4 linked regions of the Elephas maximus indicus genome follow. The protein of the gene in region 1 purifies or fractionates together with the protein of each later gene. This does not show direct contact. Links are inferred from orthologs where the notes say so. Each region holds a gene or a part of one and is shown in the gene's direction. Other genes may lie near its edges. The genes, in order: RTN4, interferon-induced transmembrane protein 3-like, NADH-cytochrome b5 reductase 3 and ATL3.

Evidence for each region.
Region 2: the proteins of RTN4 (region 1) and interferon-induced transmembrane protein 3-like purify together in Homo sapiens (affinity purification with mass spectrometry; 3 studies listed by BioGRID and IntAct, with this or other methods). This does not show direct contact. The link is inferred for Elephas maximus indicus from reciprocal best matches to the Homo sapiens genes RTN4 and IFITM3.
Region 3: the proteins of RTN4 (region 1) and NADH-cytochrome b5 reductase 3 purify together in Homo sapiens (affinity purification with mass spectrometry; 3 studies listed by BioGRID and IntAct, counting the BioPlex papers as one, with this or other methods). This does not show direct contact. The link is inferred for Elephas maximus indicus from reciprocal best matches to the Homo sapiens genes RTN4 and CYB5R3.
Region 4: the proteins of RTN4 (region 1) and ATL3 purify together in Homo sapiens (affinity purification with mass spectrometry; 4 studies listed by BioGRID and IntAct, counting the BioPlex papers as one, with this or other methods). This does not show direct contact. The link is inferred for Elephas maximus indicus from reciprocal best matches to the Homo sapiens genes RTN4 and ATL3.

What each region holds. Positions count from the first base shown.
Region 1 is NC_064844.1:7,148,050-7,154,970, forward strand, and holds the start of RTN4 (reticulon-4), read left to right. Parts: upstream 1-3,908; 5' UTR 3,909-4,136; coding exon 4,137-4,731; intron 4,732-6,921. UniProt on the Homo sapiens protein: Required to induce the formation and stabilization of endoplasmic reticulum (ER) tubules. They regulate membrane morphogenesis in the ER by promoting tubular ER production.
Region 2 is NC_064846.1:178,013,045-178,019,187, forward strand, and holds interferon-induced transmembrane protein 3-like, read left to right. Parts: upstream 1-4,129; 5' UTR 4,130-4,218; coding exon 4,219-4,485; intron 4,486-5,268; coding exon 5,269-5,460; 3' UTR 5,461-5,620; downstream 5,621-6,143.
Region 3 is NC_064822.1:186,887,398-186,894,980, reverse strand, and holds the start of NADH-cytochrome b5 reductase 3, read left to right. Parts: upstream 1-4,561; 5' UTR 4,562-4,617; coding exon 4,618-4,638; intron 4,639-7,583. UniProt on the Homo sapiens protein: Catalyzes the reduction of two molecules of cytochrome b5 using NADH as the electron donor.
Region 4 is NC_064825.1:126,874,419-126,882,235, reverse strand, and holds the start of ATL3 (atlastin-3), read left to right. Parts: upstream 1-4,808; 5' UTR 4,809-4,874; coding exon 4,875-4,920; intron 4,921-7,817. UniProt on the Homo sapiens protein: Atlastin-3 (ATL3) is a membrane-anchored GTPase that mediates the GTP-dependent fusion of endoplasmic reticulum (ER) membranes, maintaining the continuous ER network. It facilitates the formation of three-way junctions where ER tubules intersect.

The sequences.
Region 1 (6,921 bases):
TGCCCACCCTTTGGTTTGCAGTCTGAGCTCTTAACCACTGCACCACCAGGGCTCCAGAACAGTGCCTGGTACATAGTAAATACCCAACAAATATTTCTTGTGTGAATGAATAAAGCAAAATTGGATGATGTTTCAATTAGCTTTTGCTGTGTAATGAACCACCTCAAGAGGTTGAAAATAACAATGATTCATCATTTTTTATGATTCTGTGGGTTGGCTGGACATCTGAGATGGCCTCACTCTCATTTCTGGGACATGAGTTGAGTGGCTCAGATGGCTAGGTCGCTCTGACCATGTGATTTCCATCTTCCATAATGAATACCATTAGCTGCCTTCCGGTCAGCTCTGACTCATGGCGACCCCATGCACAAGGGAATGAAATGCTGCCCAGTCCTGCATCATCCCTGTGATTGATTGTCGTTCACCCTGATGTGATTCATAAGGTTTTCACTGGCTGATTTTCAGAAGTAGATCTCTAGGCCTTTCTTCCTAGTTCATCTTAGGCTGGAAGCTCTGCTAAAACCTGTTCAGTATCATAGCAACAGGGATAAATAGTCTAGGTTTTTTCACAGGGCCTCAGCATTCCAAGAGGGGGAAAGAGGAAGCTGTAGCGCCCCTGGTGGTTAGGCTTGGAACTCACTTCTAGAATATTCTATTGATCAAGTAAGTCACAAGCCCACCTTAGGCGAGGTGAGGCGATAGACTTCAACTCTTGATGGGACTTGCTGCGAAGAGTTTGTGGCCATTTTTAATCTACCACAGAAGACCAACTTTATAAACCTTCCTAGGGAGTTCTTGTCATGGAGGGAGGTAGGTCAAGCTGACCTCTCAGAACCCTTCTGGCTCTGAGATTCTAGGAGTCTCTGAACGGATCTCAGGTAGTGTTCTGAGAGACAACAGTTCCTAAGAAGTAGATATCTGGGAACTTTAATCCTTTACTTCTGGTAAGATCATTTCAAAGATATTTCACTAAATAATTATTCTCAAACTCTTATGATTTAGAATTTGCATTTTTTCCTTAAGCGTTCCAAACGTCCACCAGAATTTTGTTAGCGAGAGCAGCCTTTGCATCTAATTACACTAAGGCGTAACTAGCTTATAATTCTGGTATAGCAGCAACGTTCTCCTTTCTTTGTGCTTTGTTGACCATCCTACAGACGCTGGGTAAATGCCTTACTCTTATTCACGCATCAAATATTAATTTTTAGAAGCTGCTGAGATCAATAATATAAAATTCTTATTTTTCTTCTGCATCAGAGGAGAGTGCATCAGAATTCATCGCTGTTTACTATTAACGTTGCAGCTCTACTACTTTTCCGTAACATGGACTATACTCATTCTTTTATAAAACTTTCAATAGATTAAGAATATTCCTTTGAGACTATTTTAGTAGTAGCAGGTACAGAGACACAGGAATACAGAAATATCACATAAGTAACTTACAGATGATACAGGAGAACCCTGTGTAACTTCCCATTCAGCTGTTTCAAAACAACCATAGTAGGAGAAACAGCCGAACTGTGACTTCATAGAAAAAGTTTGTACCATAAACATTTTGCTAGTATATTTTTGTATATGTATACAATTAGTTGAAAATCATGTATATTTTAGGTAATTTTTGACAAATACTCAAAACGTGACTATTTCAGTCATCATTGTAGGAATCAGTTTTAACCTGGCATTACCTTATCAGCAAAATAAGCCAGTAGAAGGTTTGAAGAGAGAAGTTTTAAGTTGAAGACAGAACATTTGTTAACCACTAAAAACCCCATTGCTGTCGAGTCAATTCCGATTCATAGCGGCCCTATAGGACAGAGTAGAACTGCTCCATAGAGTTTCCAAGGAGCGCCTGGTGGATTTGAACTGCCGACCTCTTGGTTAGCAGCTGTAGCACTTAACCACTAAGCAACCAGGTTTTCCTGTGTTAACCACTATCACCCCCAAATTCTACTTCAATGCTTTTCTCTTCCTACTCTTTTCAAAAACCCCAACCTAAACAAACCCCAAACAACTCACAACCATTTCGAGAGTAATAAAGCCAGTTTATCTTTGTGGAATTAGTGCTAGGCCTTAAATGTATTGTTGATAGTTCACTGGATCAGGTAACATTGCCAGGAAATCTTGTTCTACGTTTTTTTTTTAGATTCCTTTTTTTTTTTTAGGGTAATAGGGCTGCTAACCAAAAGGTCGGCAGTTCGAATCTGCCAGGTGCTCCTTGAAAACTCTATGGGGCAGTTCTGCTTTGTCCTATAGGGTCACTATGAGTCGGAATTGACTTGACGGCAGTGGGTTTAGGGTAATACTAATTAGTTAGAGCTAACAATTTGCTTAAATAACCTGCGATTCTCAGCAGCAGTTAAAATATCTCGATCATTAATCTAGACTACCACTGTCCAATAGAGATATATTCTGAGCTATATATGCATTTACAAGTTTCTGTAGTCACATTGGAAACCCTGGCCGTGTAGTGGTTAAGAGCTACAGCTGCTAACCAAAGGGCTGGCAGTTTGAATCCACCAGGCGCTTCTCAGAAACCCTTTGGGCAAGTTCTACTCCGTTCTTTCCGTTGCTGAGTCAGGATCGACTTGATGGCAACGGTTTTTTTTTAATAGTCACATTAAAAAAGTAAAATGAAACAAGTGAGATTAATGGTATATTTTACTTATCCCAACATATCCAAAGTATTATCAATTTCAACCAAAATTAAAAAAAGATATTTTATATACTTTTTTGGGGGGGAGAGTAGTCTTTGAAATCTGGTGTGCATTTATGTTGACACAGCACATTTCGAGTGCTCTGAGCCACAAGTGACCCGGGGCTACAGCACTGGCCAGCGCAGGTCTAGAGCGAGCAACTTGAGAGCACGTTATCCTCGTCTCTCCAGGGCCTCGCGGAGAAGGCATTGCAGAGAAAGGTAAAAGAATCCATAAACCTCCGGATGCTGATTCTTTTATGGTCTGCAACCACGTTCTCTAAACGTTCCAGTTTGGGGAAAAGAGGAATAAAGAGCAGACTCATTCTGGCGTATCCAAGTAGTGTGTATCGGGCTTCCTGACTCCCAGAAAGCCTGAGTCATCCGAGATGTCGACGGACGAGCCCAAGGTGACTGGGGAGGTAACGCGAACCCCATTTGCCTTCCGAGGCGTTCTTTGTTTCCACTTCCCCCTCTTCCCCGTCTCTCTTCGGTGACTCATCCATCCACCATGTGAACGTCCAGCCACGGTGCCCAAAACCCTCCCGGAGGGAGATGAGCGGACCGCGAGGCCCTCCACCCCAAACGCCCCGATCCTCTGCTCGGCCCTATTTGCCTGCGTCATTCCAGGGCTGCAGTTCAGGCGGGGAGCGACCCTAACTGTCAAAACAAACTTCTTGGGGGGTGATGAGGTGGGTTGGGAATGTTAAGTTTGGAAAAAAGTCATCTTTTATTTCAAATTCTTTATCAATTGAATGTGTATTTAAATCACGAAGGCCTCCTTCCACACTATGGGTTTTTCCCTCTCCGGGGAGGAAAGTTTCCACACCGCGCCCCCCGCCCAACAGGATAACGCCCTTCCGGTGGTGCGCCAGAAAGCCCTCCGACCCCTTCCGGTCCGCAGTCGGCTCCGGGTCGCTGGACTTGAACGACAAACCGACCTCCAGCTACCGGGCAAGGCCGAGACCCCACCCAGTCGCCCATCCACCCAGGGTGGGGGTGGGGCTCCCAGGTCCAAACCCCGCCCACGGAACTCATGCCCAGCCGGTCAGAGAGAGGAAGTGCGCCAAGCCCCGCCCGCCGTCATCTCTTTCCCTTCCCGTTGGGCCGGCTGGTTGTCCATCTCGCCCATCTCGGCGCCGATTGGCCCTCTCCCTCCCGCGCCAGTCGCTGCCCCGCCCGGGGGGAGGGTGAGTCACGCCAAAAGGGGCGGGGCGTCGGCTGGCCTCTCCTTGGTCGCCTGGGCGGCGGCGGCGGCAGCTGGGGACCGGGCGGCTGGCGCATCAGCGCGCGGAGGCAGGAGGCGCAGGCTCATTGTTCCGGGAGTCGTCGGCCCTGCAGCTCCCTCGGCTCGGTGGGCCCGGCCCGCTCCGTGCTCCCCGCCCCCACCAGCGCCGGCGCGCGGCGGCGGAGAAGCGGCAGCACCGTCTGCAGCCCGGCCGCCATGGAAGACCTGGACCAGTCGCCGCTGGTGTCCTCGTCGGCGGACACCCCGCCCCGGCCGCAGCCCCAGTTCAAGTACCAGTTCGTGCGGGAGCCGGAGGACGAGGAGGACGAGGAGGAGGAGGAGGACGAGGAGGACGAGGACGAGGACCTGGAGGAGCTGGAGGTGCTGGAGAGGAAGCCCGCCGCCGGGCTGGCGGCCGCCCCGGTGCCCGCCGCGCCGGTGCCCGCCCCGGCGCCCGCCCCGGCGCCCTCCGCCCCGGCGCCCGCCGCCCCCGCGCCCCTGCTGGACTTGGGGGATGACCTGGTGCCCCCGGCGCCCCGGGGCCCTCTGCCGGCCGCGCCCTCCGCCGCCCCCGAGCGCCCGGCGCCCTGGGACCCCAGTCCCGCGGCGGCCACGGTGCCCGCGCAGAGCCTGCCCGCGGCCGCAACCTCGCCCTCCGCGCTCCCCGAGGACGACGAGCCCCCGGCCCGGCCGCCCCCTCCTCCCCCGGCCGGCATGAGCCCCCAGGCTGAGCCCGCGTGGACCCCGGCCCCCGCCGCGCCCCCCTCCACGCCGGCCGCGCCCAAGCGCAAGGGCTCCTCGGGCTCCGCGGGTGAGTGCCGCGCCCTCGCCCCTTTGTGTGCAGCTCCCGACGCGCGCCGGCCCGCCCTCCGGACCCCGGGGGGCTTTGTCTGCGGACGGGGGAGACGGGTGGGGCGCCGGGGAAGCCCGGCTTCATTGTCTGGCTGGGTTTCGGGGAGCACGTGCACCCCACCCGCTCCCGACCCTCCCTTCTCCCCTTCCTTCCCTCTGGTCCCCATTCCACTGCGTCCCCGAAGTGGGGCACGCGCCGTAGTGGGTGTGGGTGGAGGAACTGGGGTTGTGGACTCACTGGGCTGGCTTGGTGTCGGGATGGGCAGCCCTTGGCGCCCTAAGCTTTTAGGAAAGGCTTTTGTCTGCCCGTCTGGGAAAGGGTGCAGCTTCACTGCGGGGCTGTTGTCATTCAGCCCAGGGCCCCCTTCCCACCCCCTCGCTAGTGTAGGCAGTCCCCCTGCGCTCCAGACTCCACACCCCACTTCTGCGCTAGTGGGGAGCTGGCCTCATGGAAAAAAACGTCCACACTGACCCAGCCGCAGTGTAGGGAGAGCGCCTCCAGTGGTGTGGTGCGGGGACAGTTGGGGAGGAGAGGGTTCTGGCCAAGCCTGCCACCGCCCAGTTTAGCAGGCTTGTGAGGTGGCGACTCCCCACCAGCTGAACTGAGCCTTCGAGACGCCATCTGGGCATTGTGGTCCGAGGGGGCGCAGTTCTGCCAGGCTCTCAGGGGGAGGGGGCATTGTTAGTGTGGACCGATTCGGCCTCGATGCACCATAATTTAAGGGGGTTGGGGAGACAGCAAAATGGTTGACATCCTTAAAGAAGAGGAAATCTGTAGATTCCTTGCTGGAACCCGGCCAGTTGGACTTGTGACAGATTCCCCATGAGGCTTAATGAAATATTTTGGTTAGATATACTATTTCTGAGAAGTTTTAGGTCACCAGTGATAAACCTGTATGGTCTCCAAGAGTTTTTAAATCTTAACTCGTATGCGTGGCTGATTGTATATTGTTATTATTTTTCAGAACATTGTTTTATTACTCTTTTCATCTTGGGAAGCTATTTAGGAAGAGAAAAAAAATCAAGCTTGTTAGAGACTGGGGGACTTGTTAGGTGCATGGCTCAGTAGGTTGTTCTTTTGGGACACAAAATGCCCTACCAGCTGTGTAACCTTTCTTTAGGTAAAAGGTCAAGAATCAGGTAGTATAAATGCTTGCTGAGAAATCTTCATAGCCTTGTAGAATTTTAGAAGTGAGTGGTCCATTTTCTAGAAAAAGAAAATCAGTTTGAGATCACACAATAGATTTTTTTTTCTTCCAGTTCACTCCTATCCTTTCAGGGAAAGTAAGCCAAGTGCGACAATGCTTCTGAAATAACGTTTCAATATTGGCTGCCCCACAGCACTGCTCAGAAGGTCTTAGAAGATGAGAAGTAATTCAGTCTTTCCTTTTTTCTGTATCAAAAAGAAACACTTGAGGGAAAATAAGGTGATGGATAAAAATATAAAGCAGCGAGAAATTTGCAGAAAGGAAATGTAATCATTGACGAAAGCATACTGCCTTGTTATCTTGGATCCCCGAATAGGAACTGAGAGGAGAGTTCTGTTCTTTGACCAGTGGTGGTCCAGGAGGTAACTGCGTTCATTCTCTTAGAATCTTGACTGTTGGAACCCTAAACTTAGGAGATGAGAGAATACTGCCTTTCTTAGATGCAGGAACATGGTGGTTACAGTCATAGATAGCCATATCAATGAGTCTAGTCTTCCTAACACCGTTTTTCATTGGATCAGCAAATTATTGATTGCCTGACGAGATAGGCACTGTTCTGGGCTCCGAGGACCTAGCAAGAAGCAAGACGTGTGCCTGCCTGGGGGCAGGGTACAGAGAATAAACATGGATAAGAAACTTGAAATGGTGGTAAGTGCTATGAGGAAAATAAACTGGGTGACGCCATGGAGAATGTTTAATTAGGATGTGTGAAATGTTCCAAGCAGCTCCTGGGGCAAAGGCTCTTGGATGCTTGAGAATCTGTAAGAAGGCTAGTGAGTAAAACCAGGGGGAGAGTGGTGTAAAAGGAGGGTGGAGAGGTGACTGGCACGCAGGTGCTTTTTGTTGTCTAACAGGCCATGGTAATAATTTGGTCTTTTTAAGCAAATACTGTTTATTTTAGAAATATGCTCCTGAAATTTAATTTTATTGTGATTTTGGAG
Region 2 (6,143 bases), on another chromosome or scaffold:
TGGTTACACCACAGGGCTCTGTGCTGGATGTGGAGCAGTGGAAATCTCAAAAAGGTGAATGCACATGCCCAACTCCAGGGAGCAGAGAGTCACCTCACTCTGCCTACTCCCTCTGCTGTGCACAAAACACTCAAGCCCTGGAAGCTCAGAGTCAGTGCTAGCGACCTCAGTGAGTTCTGTCATTGGTGAGGAGTCAGCTGGCAGAACTACTCACACACACACACAATAATGCATGCTTACTATGAGACATAATAAATTTCTCTAATAGTCAAAATAATACTTTACAAAGTTTTTAGAACAGATCTAGGTGATTCTTGGCTCATCGGTGGTAAAACAAACGAGTGTTTCTCAACCTTGGCACAACTGTCAAATTGGAGCAAGAGAATGCTTAGTTGTGGGGGGCTCTCTTGCATTGGGTAGGGGGTTGAGCAACAGCTCTACTCATAAGATGCAAGCAGCCTACCTAGTGTTGTTGTTCTTGTTGTCACTGAGTCTATTCCAACTCATGGTGACCTCATGTGTGCAGAGTAGAACTGTGCTCCATAGGGTTTTCAAGGCTGCAGCCTTCAGAAGTAGATCACAAGGCCTTTCTTCTGAGGCATCTTTGGGTGGCTTCCAACCTCCAATCTTTCAGCTAGGAGTCCCATGCATAGCCATTTATGCAACCCAGGGTGCACACTGCCAGGCTCACCCTCACCCAACAGAGCAGCAGGCCCCCATCCAGGACTGAATCACCAGCTGAGGGTTCAGATGTGTGGGAGCTGGGCTGAAGCGTGGGTGGGGAGGGGCAGAGAGGGGCCCTTGCACCCAGGTGGAAGTCCCAGGGGGTACCAGATGAGGCCTGGAGTGACATTCCAAGGTACCAAGAGTATCAAAGGCACCTGACTGAGACAGTTGGACAAGAAGCAGGGAAGTGTTTCTGCTGACATGTTACAGCTGTCAATGTCTGTTCATCTTGAAATTGGGGGGCCCAACTTAGAGATTGCCTCTGGGCACTAGTTACCCTTGCTACACCCTGAACCTCATCACCAAGTCGTGGCAATGAAAAATATTTCCAAACCCTTTGCCATCAAGTCAATTCTGCTGCATGGGACCCTACAGGATGGAGTAGAACTGCCCCCATAGGGTTTCCAAAGAGCAGCTGGTGGATTCAAACTGTCAGCCTTTTGGTTAGCAGCCAAGCTCTTAACCACGGCACCACCAGGGCTCCAAAACGTATCTCCAGTTATTGCCAAATGTCTCCTTTGTACAGGATCATTTCCAGCTTAGACCCATGACCTTAGATCACTTTGTCTCTGAGCTCATAAATACTGAAAATGATACGGACTAATAATATATCAAAGTATGTAGACCATGCCTGGCATAAGGCAAGTTATCAATAAATATTTATTGTTATTACAAAGGAAGTCTACTTAAGAGAAGTCCCTGGATGGTACCTGCACAGGATCAGATGCAAGTATACATGGGACCTTCCTGATGCTGGTGGTGGAATAAAGATATTGTGGTTATAGTGGCCATCTAAGATGCATCAGTTGGTCCCAACCCACTTGGAGCAAAGGAGAGTGAAGAACACCAAAGACACAAGGAAAATATTAGCCCAAGAGACAAAAGGGCCACATAAACCAGAGACTCCATCAGCCTGAGACCAGAAGAACTAGATGGTGCCCAGCTACCAGCAATGACTATCCTGACAGGGAACACAACAGAGTCCCTGACAGAGCAGGAGAAACGTGTAGAGCAGAACTCAAATTCACATAAAAGGACCAGACTTAATGGTCTGACTGAGACTGGAGGCACCCCCGAAGTCATGGCCCCCAGACGCTCTGTTAACTCAGAACTAAAATCATTCCCAAAACTCAGTCTTCAGACAAGATTAGACTGTACTATAAAACATAAAATAATGCTCACAAAGAGTGTGCGTCTTAGTTAAAGCAGATACATGAGACAAAATGGGTAGCTCATGTCCGGAGGAAGAATGAGAAGGCAGGAAGGGACAGGAAACCTGAGGTGGAAAGGGGAAGTGTGCTGTCACGTTATAGGGATTGCAACCAGTGTCACATAACAATACCTGTGTAAATTTTTATATGAGAAGTTAACGTGAGCTGTAAACTTTCACCTAAAGCACAATTAAAAAAAATAAATAAAGACATTGTGGTTATGTAGGTCGGTTTTTTTTTTTTTTTTTAGGTCAAATCTTTGTGATTATGAGAATTAAGCATAGATACTACAGAGTTCTTATAAGGTGGACCAGAATCTAAGACCTGGGACAGAAGAGTGAAAACCCATGAATCCTGAAGAGGGGAAGGACGATGCACGGAGTAATTAAAACTACAGTGTGCGACCATATCCCTAAATGCTGGATCCAGGTAGAAAAGACAACCTGTGCTCCACGGGGATACTCGTGGAAATTCAGGAAAAGGGAAACCACAGCAGCCCAGAGAGCCTCCCAACTCGCTATCCTCTGTTGTCAGTTCTTAAGCCCATGAGGAGTACTTTAGGGATGAAGATAGTGTTGACCCCAATATCACCCAGCATGTTTTCTCCTTTTTCAAAATGGGCAGCTGAGAGCTTAACATAACCAAGGCCATGATAAACCTATAAGTTGTTCTAACTCTGCCTGCCTCCTCACATACCTCTGTTAATGACTTTGTTTCCACCAAATGTTAATGACTTTGTTCTGTGTTTTAAACTGATGCAAATAACCTTTTGTTCTATCTAGACTACCTGTGGCATACAACCCCCACAGGAAAGTTGGAGCCCAGGTATCCGATATGTATGTCTTCAGCCTAGTAAAGAAATGTCTGACAGGGGACAACGAAGACACCTGTAACCCTTGTAAGATTCTCTATAAGCTCTAATGTAAAACTGCTCTTTGGGACTCCATAGAGACAGCCTGTGTTGCTGCTGGGTCCCTGGTGATGTATTCATCTCACTCTTTCTGGCTTGAAGTATGTTTCATTGGCTTGACTGCTCCAGGGCATGGACCCTAATCGGGTAACAATAGTAAAGATAGTAGAGGACAGAATTGACTCATCTTGGAAATGGGAAAATTGAGCTTCAGAAACTTGCCTGAGTTTCTCCAGGTTCTTTCTAGTTCTTCATGAGTGAGGTCAGATAACCTGTAATTTATACAAAGACCCTCACCAAAATGGGAAGCAGAAATGGGAAACAAACAGGCTGAACATGGGAGAGGAGGACTCAATTCCAGAAAATTAAAAGGTCTCTTCAAACTACCTAAGGTCCTCCATCCACTGATGAATGTGCACTTGGTTGCTCCTCTTCCCACCTACCACCCTGCCCCATCCACCTCCAAACCAAGACACATGTTGGCAAGAAGGACCTTTCCTGATTTTAGAAGGAGGCTCCTTCCTCAGTGTACATCAACAAGGCTAACACAGGCTCCATTCATTGTTGTTGTCAATATTAGTTACCATCAAGTTGATTCTGAATCAACTTGTATCAGGGTAGGATTGTGCTCCACAGGGTTTTCAAGGCTGTTTTTTTTTAATCTTTACAGGAGCAGATCACCAGGCCTTTCTTCCAAGGCACCTCTGGGTGATTTTCAATTGCCAACCTTTCAGCTAGTAGTAGAGCGCGTAAACATTTGGGTCACCCAAGAACTTCTTTGTAATAATAATAAACATTTATTGATAACTTGCCCTGTGCAATGCATGGTCCTGTTGTTGTTAGGTGCTGTTGAGTCAATTCTGACCCACAGAGACCCTACGTACAACAGAATGAAACACTGCCTGGTCCTGCTCCAGCCTCACAATAGTTGTTATGCTTGAGCCCACGGTTGCCGCCACTATGTCAATTCTTGTCCTTATGGGTCTTCCTTTTTTTCCCCTTACCAAGCATGATGTCCTTTTCCAGGGACTGGCCCCTCTTGATAACATGCCCAAAGTGTGTGAGAGGAAGTCTGACCATTCTTGCTTCCAAGGCACATTTTGGCTGTACTTTAAATGTATTGCTTCATTTTAACACTCACAGAAACCCTTCCAGGACAGCGCCCTAACTCTCCCTCCCCCTCCCCTCCTCTCAGGCTTGAAGTAATTCGAGCCTCTGAAATATGTCCCGCCTCCTTGGCCCATGGCCACCCCAATTCTTCAGCCTGGAAATAGAAACTTCTGAGAAATCGAAACTACTGAGAGAAGTGAGGCCAGGAAGCTAAACCTCTCACGCAAGACCCTCATCTACTGCTGGACGTCTCAGGAAACCATGAACCACACTTCTCAACACTTCTTCACTCGCGCAGGTACCAGCCTCTCTCCAGCCTACGAGATGCTCAAAGAGGAACATGAGGTGGAAATGTTGGGGGCTCCCCACTGCTCAGTGCCCCCTGGCCCCGTGGCGCCCGTGACATCCACCGTGATCAACATCCGCAGTGATACCTCGGTGCCGGATCATATCGTCTGGTCCCTCTTCAACACGATCTGTATAAACTGCTTCTGCCTAGGGTTTGTGGCCTTCGCCTACTCCGTGAAGGTGCGTGTGTGTGTGCCAGACACCAGGGGATTCTCCAGGAGGGTGCACTTGGGCGCTAGGGGTGCCCTCTGCCCACTTGGTTCTGGGGCTACCAAGGGTGTTTGTGTGTGTTCTTGTGTGTGCCTTTGTGGATGTGTGTGTGTCCATGTGTATGCATGTGCACGTGTGTGTGTCCGTGTTTACACATGTGCACATGTGTGTGCCGGGCACCTGGGCGATTCTTCACCAGGGCGGAGTGAGCACTTGGAGTGCGCTCCCCCCAGATGGGCCTGGCGGGGAGAAAGGACCTGTGTGTGTCCCTGCGTTAATATTTTTGTGTGTGTCTCTCTTGCGCGTGTATTTTATGTGTGCTTCCTTGTGAGTGTCTGTGTCTTGGGAGGGGGGTCTTTCACAGCGTAGATCAGCAATGACACCCCAGAGGGTGCTTGAGGATGTCCTTATCAGTCCATGTTCCCACAACTTCCCCAAAAAATGTTTGTCAGAGTTAACAGAGAAGTTCATCCCTCCCTCACCCTTGGGTTAGGGCTCCAGGCTGGGGCTGGGGTGGGGGGAAGGAAGGAAGGGTGGCACTGGGGCACAGCAGAGGGAAGACAAGCCCAAGGCTCCCTGAAAGGACTGGGGGATTGTGAGGAGGTCTCTGCCCCAGCAGGCAGGGAAAGAAACTGTCCTGCTAGGGCTCCATGGAATGGGCAGGGGGGGGGGGCTCTCAGATGTGGGTGAGGGCCAGTGCAGGCTGAACTGGGGACAGAGCTTCAGGTGCCCTCATTGTTTCCTCTCCTTCAGTCTAGGGACCGGAAGATGGTGGGCGACATGATAGGGGCCCAGAGCTACGCCTCCACAGCCAAGTGCCTGAACATTTGTGCCCTGCTCTTCAGTGTCCTGGTGACCATCGGGTTCATTGCTCTCGTGGCCAGTGGAGCCATGATAAGCCTCGATGCAATCTCAAAGCTCAGGCAGGCACAGGGGGGCCACTGACCGCTGCCCATTGCTGCTGCCTGAGCCCCCCAAGGCTCCACAGCTGGTCCTGCTTTCCCGCCTGTTGACACCCCACCCCAACTCTTGTCTAAAGCAGTTTGCACTCGATGATCTGTCTATAAACGAATTCAGTAAAGTTCCTCTGTGCGTAACGGGGAAACCCTGGTGTCATGGTGGTTAAGTGCTACAGCTGCTAACCTAAAGGTCAGCGGTTCGAATCTACCAGGCGTTCCTTAGAAACTATGGGGCAGTTCTACTCTGTCCTATAGGGTCACTATGAGTCAGAATCGACTCGACAGCAACGGGTTTGGTTTTGGTTTTTGGTGTGCAATGGTGCTGTGATATCGCCCGGGGAGAGGGTCCTGCTCTCAGTCACCAGTCTGCTCCTCAGCTGAGGGTCATCTCACCTTGTCCCACTACCAGGCAGAGCAGAGAGCAGGACACACCCTCAGGCCTGGCTGGTTCTGGCCTCAGGTGGGGCCACAGCTGGGCTGGAGTGGGGGCCCCTCTGACCCTGAGGTCTGAGCCCTGACGCAGGGCGGCTTCTTACAGGGGGATCGGTACTAGGAGGCACCCTCAGCCTCACACAGGGTGCAGAGGACCCTACTCAGGCACTCTGGGATGCCTAGGTCCAGCGGTCAGCCCTCTGGGGTGCACCTGGACCCTAGCTGTTCTGACAGGAC
Region 3 (7,583 bases), on another chromosome or scaffold:
CTGCTCCCAGCCCAGTGCTCTCTCATGTGCCATGAAAATCTCTGGCCGCGGGGGGCGGGGCAGGATTTGCGGGGGAATGTCCCCCACCCCACATCCACTTCCATCAATCCCTGCCTTGCAGCCCAGGCCAGCAAGGAAGAGGAAAACCTGCAGACCATTCCGGATGCTAGATTCCAGGGGTGAGCTGTTGTGGCCAGAGCTGAGTTTCAGAAGCAAACAGACCTTGATTCAAACTCTGGCTCTGACCCTTGCCAGCTGTGTGACCTTGAACAAGGCTCTTCCCTCTCTGAGCCGGGGCCATCCTCGGTAAGCTGGAAAGGAGATGTCTGGGGTAAGGGAGGACTTGCCACAACTGGAAAGCCTTCCCCAGGGGCCCTGGTCAGATTCAACTTGCTCCCTAGGTTATGCACTGTCCTGGCTGGGACTGTGCTTCTAAAACCTGCCTACAAGTCCCAATGCGGTTACCACGGAGTACACACGAGGTACCAACTCCTGTTTCGTCAAACTCCGCTCTGCTTCCAGGGAGATTCAGGGCCGCCTTGGTGTCACTGTAGCACTTTGCCTGCCAAAGCGCTGCTCTGACTGAGCAGGCGCCTATGACTCTGTGATTAATGGTTCAGTCCCCGGCTCGGGCAAGTGATCCCAGCCCCTTCTTCATCTTTTTCCCCCGCAACATGCTCCCTCTTCAAAATGAAAATGTCTGAGGGGATTAATACATTCCCAAAACCAAACCCATTGTGGTGGAGTTGATTCCAAATCATAGTGACCCATAGGACAGAGTCGAGCTGCCCCAGAGGATTTCCAAGGCTGTGATCTTTACGGAAGCAGACATTTTTCTCCCTCAGAGCAGCAGCTGGGTTTGAACCGCTGATCTTTTGGTTAGCAGTCGATCACTTAACCACTGCACTACCAGGGTTCCTTCATTAATACGTTAACTCCTGACAAATCATTGCACTGGCTGCTTGGAGGCCCAGCTGGGGTGCGGGCTGCAGTGGGGAAGGGTGGGCTGGCTGGTTCTGGGTGCACCCCCAGGAGGTAGAAGTCATTCCCATCCCACCCAAAGCCCTGAGGTCTAGCAGGTTCCCTCAACCCCATAGCCAGAGGGAGTTTTCTAAAACTGCCTGCCTAGTTTAAGCCCTTCTCCCAGGGCTGTCAGCTACCCCCTGGAGAGCAGCTCATCCTGGCATTCAAGGCCCCACTGACTTGACCCGCTTCCTCTACTCGGTGACATGAAGCCTCATCTGATAACATCTGCCACACTTGTTTTCATTTACCATTTCTGCGTGAAAGAAGTATTCGATGTTTGAGATTCAGATTGAACTGACCATCCTCTAGTTCTGTCCAAACACCCCCAGACATCATGAAGTTTTACGTAAGTATATTCCGTGCAATATTTGGGATATACTTATGCTAAAAAATTACATTCATCATTTAGCTGACATTCAAATTTAACTGAGTGTCCTGTATTTTGATTTGCTAAATCTGGCAACCCTAGGCCCTACACAGGTGGCCTGGGGCGGGGCGGGGGGGGGGGGGTGCTGCCAGGGGTGGGATAGCCTCAACCTGAGTACAGAAACTCTGCCCTGCAGTTGGCCTGAAAGCCCTCTCTCCCAACCTCCTCTCCAGCCTCCTCTCCAGCCCATGGCTGCTGAATCCCTTCTCTGAGCCTCAGTTTCTTCTATACAATAGAACTAACGGCTTCTCTGTCCACCCACCTCTCAGCCTCTCCCAGGGATCAAACACCTGAGCAGGTCAGGGACTCTCAACCAACAAAGTAGAAGGCAAATGGACTTGTGGGAAGCGTCTGTTCTTTGGCTCATAGCAGGACCTTGAGGGATTAGGACGAGGGTCTCCCCTCGCTTTCCACCACTCTAAGCAGCTTACAAACCAGTTAAACTACCTAGATAGTCGCTGTTTCAGGCAAAGACCATTAATAGGTGCTGCAACCATTGGATGAAAGTTTGCTAGGGATCACGACATTCACAGTTTCAGAGTCAAAGATACTTGACAATAGGGAGATCTGGTAGGTACCCCCTTAGCCAGGCCAGCCTCACCAACGGTGGGGCATCTTGATTTCATCCTGTCTCCAAACCAAAAGATACTAGGGACCTCCTTTGCCGTCACATAGCCAGTCAAAAGCCAACACCAGTGTGTGGCCAGGCCTGGCATGGGGGTCACCTTCTAGGGAAGCTTCCAGATGTAACCAGGGGTGAAGCCTCCTTCTGTGTTTTATACATTGAAATTGTGTCAGTGGGTTGAGGTGTAATGCAGACAGGATTTATTATAGTAAGAGCAAAATGCTTCAATATTTTCTGTTGTGAATGACATTAATTTTATGTACAGAAACAATTATGAAGAATGTTCCAACAGATAAATAGGGAAACAGGCGGACAGTTAATATGATCTTAAAAGAGGCTGTAATAGCATGATAACTTTAGGAAGGAAATGATTTCCTTCTTGAGTCTACAAATGTATAAAATAATTTAAATGATACAAGGCAGAATGAGAGATGAATTCCACTCAAATTCGAACTTTGTAGGATTGTTTGTGGAGCTAGCTAGCATCAGTACCCATAACCTAAATAAACTTTATATATGATATTTAAGTTTTATTTATTTAATGCCATTGAAGCTATGCGTTTTTCGAGGAAAAGTCCTGTGTGGGAATTCTTCACAGCTCATAAGAATGCATTAAAAGAGGAAAGCTAACTTAAATCCCACTGCCGTCGCGTCGATTCCGACTCACACCGACCCTATAGGACAGAGTAGAACTGCCCCATAGGGTGTCCAGGAAGCCTGAACTACAGACCTCTTGGTTAGCAGCCTAGCTCTTTAACGAGTAACCACTGGGGTTTCCGAAGCTAACTTAGTCACCTCCAAATTTCACAAGGAGAAGAAAGGCCCAGATGACAATTCACACCCATGATCATCATCTTGGACCCAGGAGCAATAAAGAAAGCGAAGAAAATAAGGTATGGGAGGAAACGAGGAGGCTTAGAGTGATTTTCTGCCTCCGTTTCCCCCATGGAAAGTGTCGAGAATCGCAAATGGGTGAGTGGTCTACGAAGACCTTAGCAACGGAGAAGTTACTGGTTGTACCTTCTAGGTCAGGCTTTCCGATTTGATTATTTCCTTCGTAACATTAAAATTGTAATCATTAAAGCCGAAATAATTCGTAAGTGACCTGAGAAGATGTCAGATTTATCCTTGTATTCTACCATAGTAGGTCCCTCCCTCCATGCTGCCCCAGAGGCCCCTTTTTTAAAGCCAACAGGCCACTCCCCCACCTGCCTAAGTCCTCCAGGACTCCCCCCAAAAACCTGCTGCCATTGAGTCAATTCCAACAGAGCGGACTGGGCTCCATAGGGGTTTCAAGGGCTGATTTTTTGGAAATAGATCACCAGGCCTTTCTTCTGAGGCCCTTCTGGGTGGACTCCAACCTTAGTTAGCAGCTGAGCACATTAACCTCTTGCACCTCCAGATCCGCCTCCTCTCCCCAAATTCCCAGTTCCTTCCACCCATGTTCCTGGTGTACTTCACCCTGATCCCACGTTACACCTCCATGCCCCTAGCTCTGGCCACGTCAGCCCTTCTAGCCTTGCTGGCCCTGTCTATGCAGCTAATTTCCACTTCTAGGTCCATGCGGTTCCCTCTGCCCGGTTCCCTCTGCCAGATGGCCTTTTTCCCCTTATCTGCTGTGCCCACATCACACTGCAGGAACACAGAGCCCAGTACCAGAAGCTCCAAGACCCTTCCAGGGGGCAAGGCCTGAGAGTGACCCTGGGCCCAGCATGGCCTACACAGAGAAGGTGGTCTACACAGAAGAGTTGCCCGCTGTCTCTGGAATTCACTCATTCAACAAGTATTTATTGAGTGCCTACTACGTGCCAAGCATTCTGTGAGGGTCAGGGCATACAGGGGGCTTCAAAACAGACAAGGTGCTGCCCTCCCCGAACGGTCCACTGGGATGGGGTTGAGCTGGGAGCAGACCATCCTGAAAGAACACCTCGGGCAGTGGGGTGGGGAGAGAAGAGGGGGCGTTTGGAGAGGGGGGTCAGGGCAGGCCTTGCCGGGGACAGGTTTGACCTGAGACCTCAACACTAAGCAAGAGCAGACTCTGAGACGGCTGGGGCTAGTTTTCCAGAGAGAGGGAACGGCATGGGCCAAGGCCGTGAGGTAGGACCAAGCTGAGCAGCTTCAGGACAACGTGAGGCAGCGGCTCGGTGGCGCAGTCTGGGGTCAGGCCGCGGTGGAGCTTCCGGGTTTCCCTTCAGCTCCCTCTGAGGGGGCGCCATCTTCTGCCTTTTATGGGGGCAGACGAGGCCCAGAGAAGGCCGGCGTCGCCGCAAGGCCACACAGCCCAGGCGCACGCTGCCGCGCGCTGGCACCCAGTCCAGGCGCGCCGGCCACCGCCGCGGGCCCCGCAGTGCGGTGATACCCGCCCGCAGAGGCCGGGCGCTAGCGGCGGGGACCCACCGCCCCGCCGCCCCGGCTCCCTCCACGCCCTCGGTCCCGCCCTCCGCGGCCTGACGCGCCGGGCGGCGGGCGGAGCCAGGGCGGCGGCGGCGGCGGCGGCGGCGGGGCGGCCAGAGCGGCGGAGCGAAGCGGCGCGGCCACCATGGGGGCCCGGCTGAGCACGGTAGGGGGGCTGGGGCGGCCGGCGCCAGGCCCTCGGCTCGGGCGGCGCCCCTGCGACACGGCCGCGAGAGGCGGGCCACCGGGCGGGGACGGGCCGGGCGGCCTGCGGGCCCGGGGCTCGGGACCCCCGCCCGTCTGCCCGCCCGCCCGCCGGGCCGCGCCCAGGGCCGCGGGGACCGTGACTCACGCCCGGGCGGCTGCCCTGCTCGGCCGAAGGCGGCGGGGGGCCGGCACCGGGGGCGGGACCGCGCGACCGCCGTCTCCCTCCCCGCCACGGGCCGAGGCGTGAGTGTGACCGCACGTCTGTGTCAGTGTGCGAGGGGGTTTGTGTGTGAGCCTATATGGTGTGGCTGAATGTGGCAGAGTGCAGGAGGATGAAGACCAAACCCCAAACCAAACCCCTCGCCTTTCAGTTGATGCCACTCCCAGCGACCCTACAGCAGGGGCTCCCAAGGCTGTGAACCTTCGCAGCAGCAGACTGCTACCCTTTCTCCCGCAGAGCCCTGGGAGTTGCCAACCGCAGACCTTTTGGTGCGCAGCCGAGTGCTTTAACCACTGCGCCAGCAGGGCTCCTTTCACACCCACTAAACCCAAAAAACCCAAACCCACTGCTGTCCAGTGGATTCTGACTCATAGCGATTCTATGGGACAGAGTAGAACTGCCCCATAGGGTTTCCAGTACTGGAATCTTCACAGGGAAGAACGTCACGCTTGGCAAAGCAGCGGGTCCACGGACACTAGAAGGACCCTCATCGAGAGGGATTGACACAGTGGCTGCGGCAGTGGGCTCAAGCATGACAACGATTGTGAGGATGGTGCAGAACCAGGCGGTGTTTGGTTCTGTGGTACACAGGGTTGCTATGAGTCGGAACCGACTGGATGGCACCTCACAACAACAGTCTTTGCAGAAGGAGACCGCCACGCCTTTCTCCCCCGGAGTGGCTGCTGAGTTTGAACTACCAACCTTTCGGTTTGCAGCCGAGTGCTTAACCCGTGCTCCACCAGGGCCCCTGACAGGAGGACAGTGAGTGTGTATTGTGAGTGTACATGGTGTGAGACTGAATATGTGATTAGATATATGTGAGAGTGTATGCATGTGAGTGTGAGTTTATATGTGGCTGTGTGTGAATGTGAGTTTGTGTGAATGTGTGAGTACAAGAGAGTGAGTGTATCTGTGTGTGAGAGTGAGTTTATGTGAGTGTATAGTGTGTGTGAATCGTGCGGCTATGTGAGTGTTCATATGAGTGAAGAGAGGTGTGTATGAATGTGAACATGAGTGCATATGTGTGTGAGTGTAAGAGGGTGAGTGTGTGTGTGAGTATGAATACGTGAGAGTGAGTTTGTGTGTGAGAATGAGTGTGTATTGTGTGTGTGCGTGAGTGTGAATGAGGGTGTATGTATGTGAAGGTGTGCAGTAGTGAATTGTGTGGTACGTGTTAGCAGGAGTGTGTGAGTGTGAGTGAATGTGAGTGTGGCATCGTCTGTGAGATGTAAATAGGTGTGAGTGTGAATGTGCATGTGAGAGTGAGTACAAATTCATGTTTGAATGAATGCGTGTGAGTGTGGGTGTACATGTGTGTGAGTGTGATAGCATATGAGAGTGTGATTGTGCGTGTGAGGGTATGAGTGTGTGATGTTGCTGGATCAGAAGGTTTGTGCAGTCCCTTAGCAACAACAACGTCAACAGTGGTAATCCTCAGCAGTTCTAAGTTAGGCTCTGGCTCTCCTGTTAACCCAATGACGTTGTTAATGTAACCAGCCTGCAAGGCCAGCGCTGTTAGCCCCACTTTACAGATGAAGAAATGAGACTCGGGCTTGGCCAAAGTCCCACAGTGCTACATGAGGGAGCCACACTCTGTGGGGCTCCAAAGTCCACCCTCACCGCTGTCACTTCTGGCAGGCCTCCTTCGCTCCACCCCCAGGCTACCTCCTCCCTACAGTTTTTTAAAAGCAGGAGTGGTGAAGAGGCCCCGGGCTTGTGTAGAGACGGTAACTACAGAGGACAAACACTCTCACGCGTAGACACTATTGTCCAAGCTACTTGAAGTGAAGTGAATAGGCCCTGCGGTGCCTTGGCCTGCGTGTGGGAGGGGCTGGCACCTTGGAGGATTAGGCCCAGATCTGCCTCTGCCTCCACCCCAGGCGCCTGGGACTTGGAGGGACTATTGCCTCCTCCCTCTGGCTCTATGAGGCTCCTCTTTGTGGCCTGGGCCTTTGCTGGTGAAAGTGTGGCCCAGCCCAGGACTCTGGGGCACATTCAGGTCAAGAGGCAGCCTTGCCCAGGGCGAACCTGTGGGCATTGCCTCAGCCTTGGTAACAGCTGACAGTACACCCCAGAAATCCCCATGGGTCACCCCTTCTGCCTTCATTGTTCAGACACCCCCTGGGCTCTGAGGCCCGCCCTGACTCCCCTCTGTGCTCTTTTCCTGGGGTGCTTCTCACCTTCCATCAGGTGCTGGCTGGATTTGTCCATGCGTCCCTTCCACCTGGCACACAGTAAGCGCTCCATACATTTTTGTTGAACAAACAAGCAGCTCCCTTGCCTGCCAGCACCTTGTTTGGGAGCCAGGAGACCTGTGCCAACTCCCGCCCCTCTATCCAAGGGGTGGGCACAGGCTGCCCCCTAGGCTCCTTTTGGACCCTGTTGGGATCCCCCTTGGCCCAAGAGGGTCTTCTTTTCTGCTTAAAACACCCATAGCAGGCCCCAGCCAGACCTCCTGTCCCGGGGCTCCACGCGGTCTACAGGAGGCCGCTGGGTGCCTGGTGGGCGGATGTCTTATCTGGGACGTGCAGGCTAGGAGGGGGCCACCTCCCAGACTCAGGGGGGCCCTGCAGAGGGGTTGGCACTTCAGTCATCCAGCTACCTGGTGGAGACCTTTGGGGCTTGGTCTGCAGTCCTGGAGTGTGGTCCCTGCCACCAGGCAGTGAAGGTTCCTGGGGGCCAGC
Region 4 (7,817 bases), on another chromosome or scaffold:
CTGGTCATATGCTCTGTGTATAACACTATCATGGGCACGTTGGAGGGATCTACAAATATAATATGTTGCTGTGTCTTCAACGAGCTTCAAGCTTCTTGGGGCTTAGAATATACTCACATAAAGCTAAATAATACAAATTAAATAAAACCAAAAACAACCCCAAGCAATAAAAAACCATAGTGCTATGAAATTGGGCCGCAAATAAGTAGTATGAATTTGAAATAGGGGAGGGATTACCATGGAGTTATAGCGGCTCGAGAAGGTTTTATGAAGACGTTCAACCTTAAAATATGGACAGGAGTCTGGAGTGGTAAGGAGGCCATTAGAGGCAGGAGAGGATGGTGTGAAGCAAATGCAGGGATTGCTTTTGTGCAAGTATACAAAATGGCACCCCTCTGGGCAGATGAATTAGGAAAAAAAAAAATCATCTTAGCCATGCAGTTCCATGCTGGCTTGTCTAGCAGAACATGGCCTAGATTTCATCTTCTCTTGCCCCTCCCCTCCTGGGGCTGCCTCAGTGCAGTACACACACTGCTGTGCTGGCCAAAAGCTCAGAAGTGTGACTGTGTATAGGGTGTTTGGGGCATGGTTAGAGCAAGTTGGCTGGAGCCGAGGTCTTGAATTGGGACAAGAGGGAGATAAAACGCGGAAGAAAAGTTGGAACCAGACTGTGGAGAAGCGTTGATATTACACTAAGGAATCGAGAATTTGAAAGTTTTGGGGCAGGAAGGGCTCAGATGGAATTTTTTTTTTTTTAATTTATTTTGTTGTTGTTATTGAGACTATACACAGCAAAACATATGCCAATTCCACCATTTCTACATGTACGATTCAGTGTCATTGATTACATTCTTCAGGTTCCACAACCATTCTTACCCTCCTTTTCTGAGTTGTTCCTCCCACATTTAGCCCACTGCCCCCTAAGGCTCCAATCTAATTTTTTAGTTGTTGTTGTCACTTTGATCCCATATAGATAGTTCTTAAAAGAGCTTAAAAACTTAAGGAAGACATTCTTTACTAATTAAGCTAACCTATTTTTTTATTGTTTGGTTTTAAGAAGACTTCAGAGGATATTTTTGATTTAAGTTTTATACACTGGGCAGTAGTTTCAGGGATTTATCCAGCCTCAATGGCTCCAGGAAGTCTGGAGTCCATGAGAATTTGAAATTCTGTTCTGCATTTCCCCCCTTTTGATCAGGATTCTTCTATAGAGTCAGATGGGATTTTTAGAGTGTTCACTGGAGCATAACCACTTCTCTGGCCCCTACGTTGTTGTCGTTAGGTGCTGTTGAGTTGATTTCGACTGATACTGACTTCATATGGCAGAGCAGAACTGCCCCTTGGGTTTCCTAGGCTATAATCTTTATGGGACCAGGTCACCAGGTCTTTCTCCCCTGCAACTACTGGTTTGAACCACCGACCTTTTGAGTAGCAACGAAGTGCTTAACTGTTCTGCCGAGAGGGCTCCTTTTGCCCCTTTTAGGACTGGCATTTACACAATTATTTCCCACCTCAGCTTCTAGGCCATCTTGTGACTCCACTTTACATATGAACAACGTAAAGGCACAGATGTTTAACTGATGCCCAGGGATGTCAGTATTTAAGCCTGTCCCTTCCTAGTGCCCAGACTGTTGCTTAAATACCATTATTGCAAGTAGATGATAGGGGAGAAGGCTGAAAAATGTCACGGCAAGTGATCATCACGGCAGGTGATAACTATTTACTTGGCTGTTTACCCCAGCAGACTGTGAGTTCCTGAAGGACAGGAATGTGTCTTACGCATTGTTGCAGCATTAATGCCTAGCATGGTGCTTGGCTTGTTGTTGCAGCATTAATGCCTAGCATGGTGCTTGGCTTGTTGTTGCAGCATTAACGCCTAGCGCAGTACTTGGCACCTAAATAAGGCGTTTTTGGAAAGCTTTGGAATCTGAGTCATAGTGAATGCTTATTGCAAAAACAATTTTGTTTTTACGCTTCCTAAAATACTTGAGTATCTTTGTTATGACTTGGTTTTGCTTTTCCAGAATGAATATAATGTGTTCCAATTTTTGAGCACTAAGTACCAGTCATTATTACCAAATGCATCTCATTTAACCTACAGCTCTGTGATGTGGGTATTTGAAGTATTTTGCAGATGAGGAAACAGACTCAGAGAGGACAAATAACTCACCCAGGGTTGCACAGCTGGTGAGCATTAGAGCTGGAATTCAAAGCCAGGTCAGCCTGACTCTAAAGTGTGTGGCCCTTACCGCTCCCGACATGTCTTCATGTCGCTTACTTCTGAACCACGAAGAAGGCTCAACTCAAAGTGAAATGGCTGAAGGCAGAAAGGCTGTAACCAGTATTATCAATATTTAGCATTCTGAACATTCCCTGTTTTGATGACCCTGGATATTTGAGGACATAAAAGCAACAACAACAAACACATTTCTCACTTACGGGGGTTGCTTTCCAAGCTATGGCTAAACCTAAAATCCACTATAATTTGTACCATGTTGTTCTAATGCGGAACAGCTTCTACAAGGTACGGGGAAGGCTGATGTGGTACTAACATTGACCTTGATAATGTTGTCATATTGAGATACATCTCTGTATTTGCTGGTCAGAATGAATTTCAGTGGGTCTTTATTGGGATCCCTTAAAATAGAACAAGGCATTTTGTTCAAAAGTAAAAGTTAGGTACTTAATATTAACTTAGGTACTTAATAATAAAGTGAGTGACCACCACCTGTCTGTCAGTTTGTTATACCGTAGTGGCTTGTGTGTTTCTCATGATGCTGTAAGCTCTGTCACCACCACCAGTGTTTTGGTGAAGTAGAGGGCTATCGATGGCAAGGGAGACCCTTGGCTAGATTGATTGGCACGATAGCCACAATGATGAATTCCAACATGCTGGTGATTGTAAGGATGATGCAGGACAGGACAACATTTATTTCTGTTGTACATAAAGACACCATGAGTTGGAGTCAATTCAATGGCAGCTAATGACAAAGTGTGCCTCCTTTATTCATTCATTCAACGGATGTTTGAGTCTCTACTATCTGCCTGGCAATGCTTGAGGTGCCGGAGATGCAGCAGTAAACAAAACAGACTAAAATTCCTATCCTTAGCAAAAACTTGCATTCTAATGGGAAGAGACAAACAGAACAATAAGTAAAACTTAAGTCAGATGGTAAGAAGTCTCATGCAGAAAGTAAAGCAGGGAAAGTGAACAGGGAATCCTGAAGTGTGAGAATCTTCAAAACGTAAGAATTTTGAATTCCTACATCGCAGGTTTCAATTGTGATGAGTCATGGGCCTTTGACCCCTCCTTTCTCTTTCTGAGCATGCCACATAATGCCCTGGGTGTGTCACATTCTGTAGGTCCTGCCTCCTGCACACTGGTGTGAATTCCCAGTAACCACTTGCCTTGATGTTTTCTCCTTTCTTGCTGGCTTTAGTTGGTCTAAATCTAATCTTGACTCTTAAATCTGAAGTCTGGAGGAGGGGTGTTCAATTATCTGGAGATTTTTGGGGAGTATCAGAAGGGTTAGGGAAACAAATCAAAGAGACTTCCTTAGGTAGGATTAGGTAGAATTATCTTTGCCTCTTCACCTTTGACCTAATCACTTGGGAAGCAAAAAATGACGTTAAAGGCTCCGCAGGGCCTAAAGGTAGGGAAAAGTAGGTCCTAGATAGATTATAACAGTGAAGGCAGAGGCAAAAGAAAGAGAAATAATTTGTCAAATAAATGTGACAACGGTGAAGCCAAGAGGTGGTGGTGGTGGGGAATCAGATGCTTTAGCTTCCCAGAAGCCTCACCAGTTATTTATTCCCAATCCACTCTCACCCAACAAATCCAAAAAACAATATTCCTCAATTGTGGCAACTGATATTTTCTCATTTTCGGAGAACCTTGCGTTGCATGTCGCCGTGAGTTGGAATCGACTCAACGACAACCATACAGTTTAAGCAAAAGTGTGCTTGCAAAAAAAAAAAAAAAAAAGCTTTAAATCAAGTCCCTGTAAACCTGAGGTTTACAAAAGAACGTTTGAGGTTCAGGCTGCACAAAGCGGTGGGAGGGGTCTTCCCAGAGCTTTTAGAGGGGTGATGTGCACCATCGGGCTTGGCTAGAGGCAGGAATATGGAGTGATGACGATGGCGGTAATGAAGTCACCGCCTCCCTCCTTGTGAAGTCAAAAGCATTAAAAATCCAGTGAGGTTCGCGTCACCCAGGGCCAAAGCCTCCTCCGGTCCTTAGAGCAGGGACCCACCCACCTGCGGCCCCGGCCTGCGTTAACCACCGAAACCTTCTCAGACGCGGCCGACAGGAGCACGAAACCGACGATCCCAAAGCTCCCGCCCGGGGCCTGGTTACCACCCTACGGCCCGGCTCGCTGGCGGGCCGGGGCGAGCCCTCTCCGGGCGGCTCTCGCACAGCCTGCTGGGAATGGTAGATCTGTCATCGGAAAGCGGTGCCAGGCCTCGCCCCTCTCCTCGACTCCCTACCCGCCCCGGATGAGTGAGCAAAATGGGTACCGCCAACTGGGAGTCAGGCAATGAGGGACTACAACACCCAACGGACCGTGGCCGGCAGCGCCCAGCCCAAGGTAGCCTGCCGCGCTCCTGCGCAGGCGCACACGCCCTGAGCGAGTCGGCAGCGTGCGCTTTCCCGCCGGGACCCGCCCTGCGCGGGCAGTGCCTCAGGGCTCGGTCAGGCTTCGCAGACCCGCCCCGCGCTCGCTCTCGGACGGCTTCGCGCGCCCCTCCTCCTCCCCAGTTTCTTCTAGAGCCCAGGCCCCGCCCGCCTCCCGCCCTCAGGGCCTGGCTGGTTCCCGCCCCAGGCCGTCCCTCTCCTTTGCGCCCCAGCTGCTTCTGCTGAGGGCGGAGGCTCCATGTTGTCCCCTCAGCGAGCGGTAGCGGCTGCCTCGGGAGGAGCAGGTGAGGCGCCCACTTTCCCCCGGCCCCTCTCCATGGCCACCCCGCCGCCTCCCCGCCATAGTTCCCAGGACGCCGCCCGCGCCGCCCCGTCCAGGGGCTGGGACGGCGCGGCCGAGCCCCTCTGCCCGCAAATTCGGGGCCGGGGTTTCCTGGCGGCGCTTGGCCCTGCGGGCGCGGGCAGCGCCTTCCTCAGCCTCCGGCTGGGAGTGGCCGCCCGCGGGCCTCGGCCCCTGCGCCCCGGGGAGGCCGCCAGCGCTCCATTGGGCCGCCGCTCCCCGTTTGTGCCCGTCGCGCCCGCCAGGGGCGGCACCGGGGGCCGGGGGCTTCCTGGGGCTGTGTCCGCGGCTTCCGCACCGTTGGACCCCGCCCTGGGCACAGCCGGGAAACTCGGGCCAAATGGCTTCGGCTGTTTAACCCGCTGGGCTGGAGCGGGAAGGAGAGCGCTTTGTTGTTCAGCTTTTAGTGAAGTGCTGGAGGGCTGCGAAACGTCTTTTATCTTAACGACCTTGAGGCACTGACACCAAGGAGTGTTAGAAAAGTTGGTTTTCAGCCCGCTTATCTCCATAAAGCAGATGAGAAAACGTGGCCCCACTTGGTTTTGGTACTTTTTTCAGTACGTTTAGTACGGGACGTTGCTCTTTTGGTTCCCGAAGCCATACAACGTAGGAAAAGTGTTACCTGAATACAAACCAGATAGGGAGTGACCAAAAATTCACCGATACGACTTCGTCTGTCGCTTTACCTGGCTTTTTGTTTAACGTAGGCACTGTTGGAATTGCCAGGAATTTCACTTGTGGAATCTAAAGGCAGAAAGGAAAAGTGTTTGAAGAATCTTTTAATAAGTAAATCCGAATTCTCAAATTTGAATACAAAGTTGAGTGGAATACTTTGTGAAAGGCAGAAAAACCATCGGACCACACTTGAGTTTACTTTTGAGGAAGCATATTTAAGAAAGAAAAGCAATATAGTTCTTCTAATCTATGGCAAGTATTCAGGATTGCAAGATACGTAGTGAAATCAGGGGCAGATTACTCAATAATCAATATAAACACGGGTTTACTTGTGCTTACTTACTAATTGGTCACTACAGATTAGTAAGTGAGCACAAGTGAGCCCATGGTTACCTTGATTATTGGGTAATCCGCCCCTGATTGAAATTCAAATTAGTGCTATTTTTTTTTCCCCGGTCCCCACAGAAACTAGCTTGTAGTCTAGAAATTCCTGTTGCTACTCTAACACCTGTAAAGGAAAACACTTAGTGAAAAAGGTCTGTACGTAATAAAGGATTATGCTGGGACAGCATATTGTTTTATTAGCTACTGTTTAGTGTCATTGTACTTATCATAAAATTAAGAAAAATAACAATAAAGGATAAATGTAATGTGTACTGACATAGTTTTCTTAGTTTTCACTAAATTGGCTTATTTAGAATAGACTTATAAAAAATAGGTTTTCTCTGGAGTCATTCAAAAGAGCCCTGATAGCACAGTGGTTAAGTGATTGGCTGTTCATCAAAGGTCACGGGTTTGAACCCACCGGCCACTCCAGGGGAAAAAGATGTGGCATTTGGCTCAGTGAAGATTTACAGCCTTGAAAATCCTATGAGGCAGTTCTACTCTGTCCTATAGAGTTGCTATGAGTTGGAATTGACTCGACAGCAGTGGGTTTGGGTTTATGGTGCCATACATGGGATTTTTGGGTAGCAAGCATAGACTAAAGACTGCTCACACTAATTGTTTAAAATGAAATAATATTGTGTGAAGCAAGAAATAGAATCCTCTCCATCTTCCCAGTTCCACAAAACGTAGCCATTATTAACAGTTTGGCCACATTCTACTAAGATCTTCCGTGAAGTAGTGTTAATGGATTGAATTCCAAAACCCATTGCTGTCCAGTCGATTCCGACTCATAGCGACCCTATAGGACAGAGTAGAACTGTCCCGTATGGTTTCCAAGGAGCGCCTGGTGGATCAAACCACTGTCCTTTGTTTAGCAGCCTTAGCTCTTAACCACTATGCTACCAGGGTTTCCATGGATTGAACTATGCCCTCCCAAAATACGTGTTGTAAATCCTAACTTCTATGCCTGTGGTTATAATCTCATTTGGGAATGGATTGTTTTTGTTATGTTAATAAGACAGGGTTAATGTAGGGTGTATATTGAGTCAGTCTTTTTTGAGATACAAAACCCATTCATTGCCTTGTAGTCAATTCATAGTGGCACTATAGGACAGGGTAGAACTAACCAATAGAATTTCCAAGGCTGTAATCTTTATGGAAGCAGACTGCCACATCTTTGTCCACAGGAGCAGCTGATGGATTCAAACCACCAGCCTTTAGGTTAGCAGCCGAGCACTTAACCAGTGTGCCACCAGGGCTACTTTTTTGGGATATGAAAGAGATTAAACAGGCGAGTAGAAGCAGAGATGGGGAAAGAGATGTCAAGCCATAGGAGGATCGCCGAGGAGCAGAAGCTCAAAAAGAGACGAGGACCTTCCTCCGTAGCTGACAGAAAGAAAGCCTTCCCTGAGAGCTCACGCCCTGATTTCTGACTTCTAGCCTCCTAAGTGATTAAGAGCTATGGCTGCTAACCAAAAGGTCAGCAGTTCAAATCCACCAGGTGCTCCTTGCGTATCCTGTGGGGCAGTTCCCTTGTCTCCTATAGGGTCCTTATGAGTCGGAATTGACTTGATGGCAACGGCAAACTGTGCGAAAATAAATTTGTTTGTTAAAGCACCCACTTGTGATATTTCTGTTGTAGCAGCACCAGATAACTAAGATTATCTAGTTATTTTGTTTTGGGTTAGATAACTAAGATAAATACCTTAGGAACTCTAGGTTGTGTGAACTTACTTGAGAACTAGTTTAGAATTTACCTGTAAATGACAGGCATGCCTT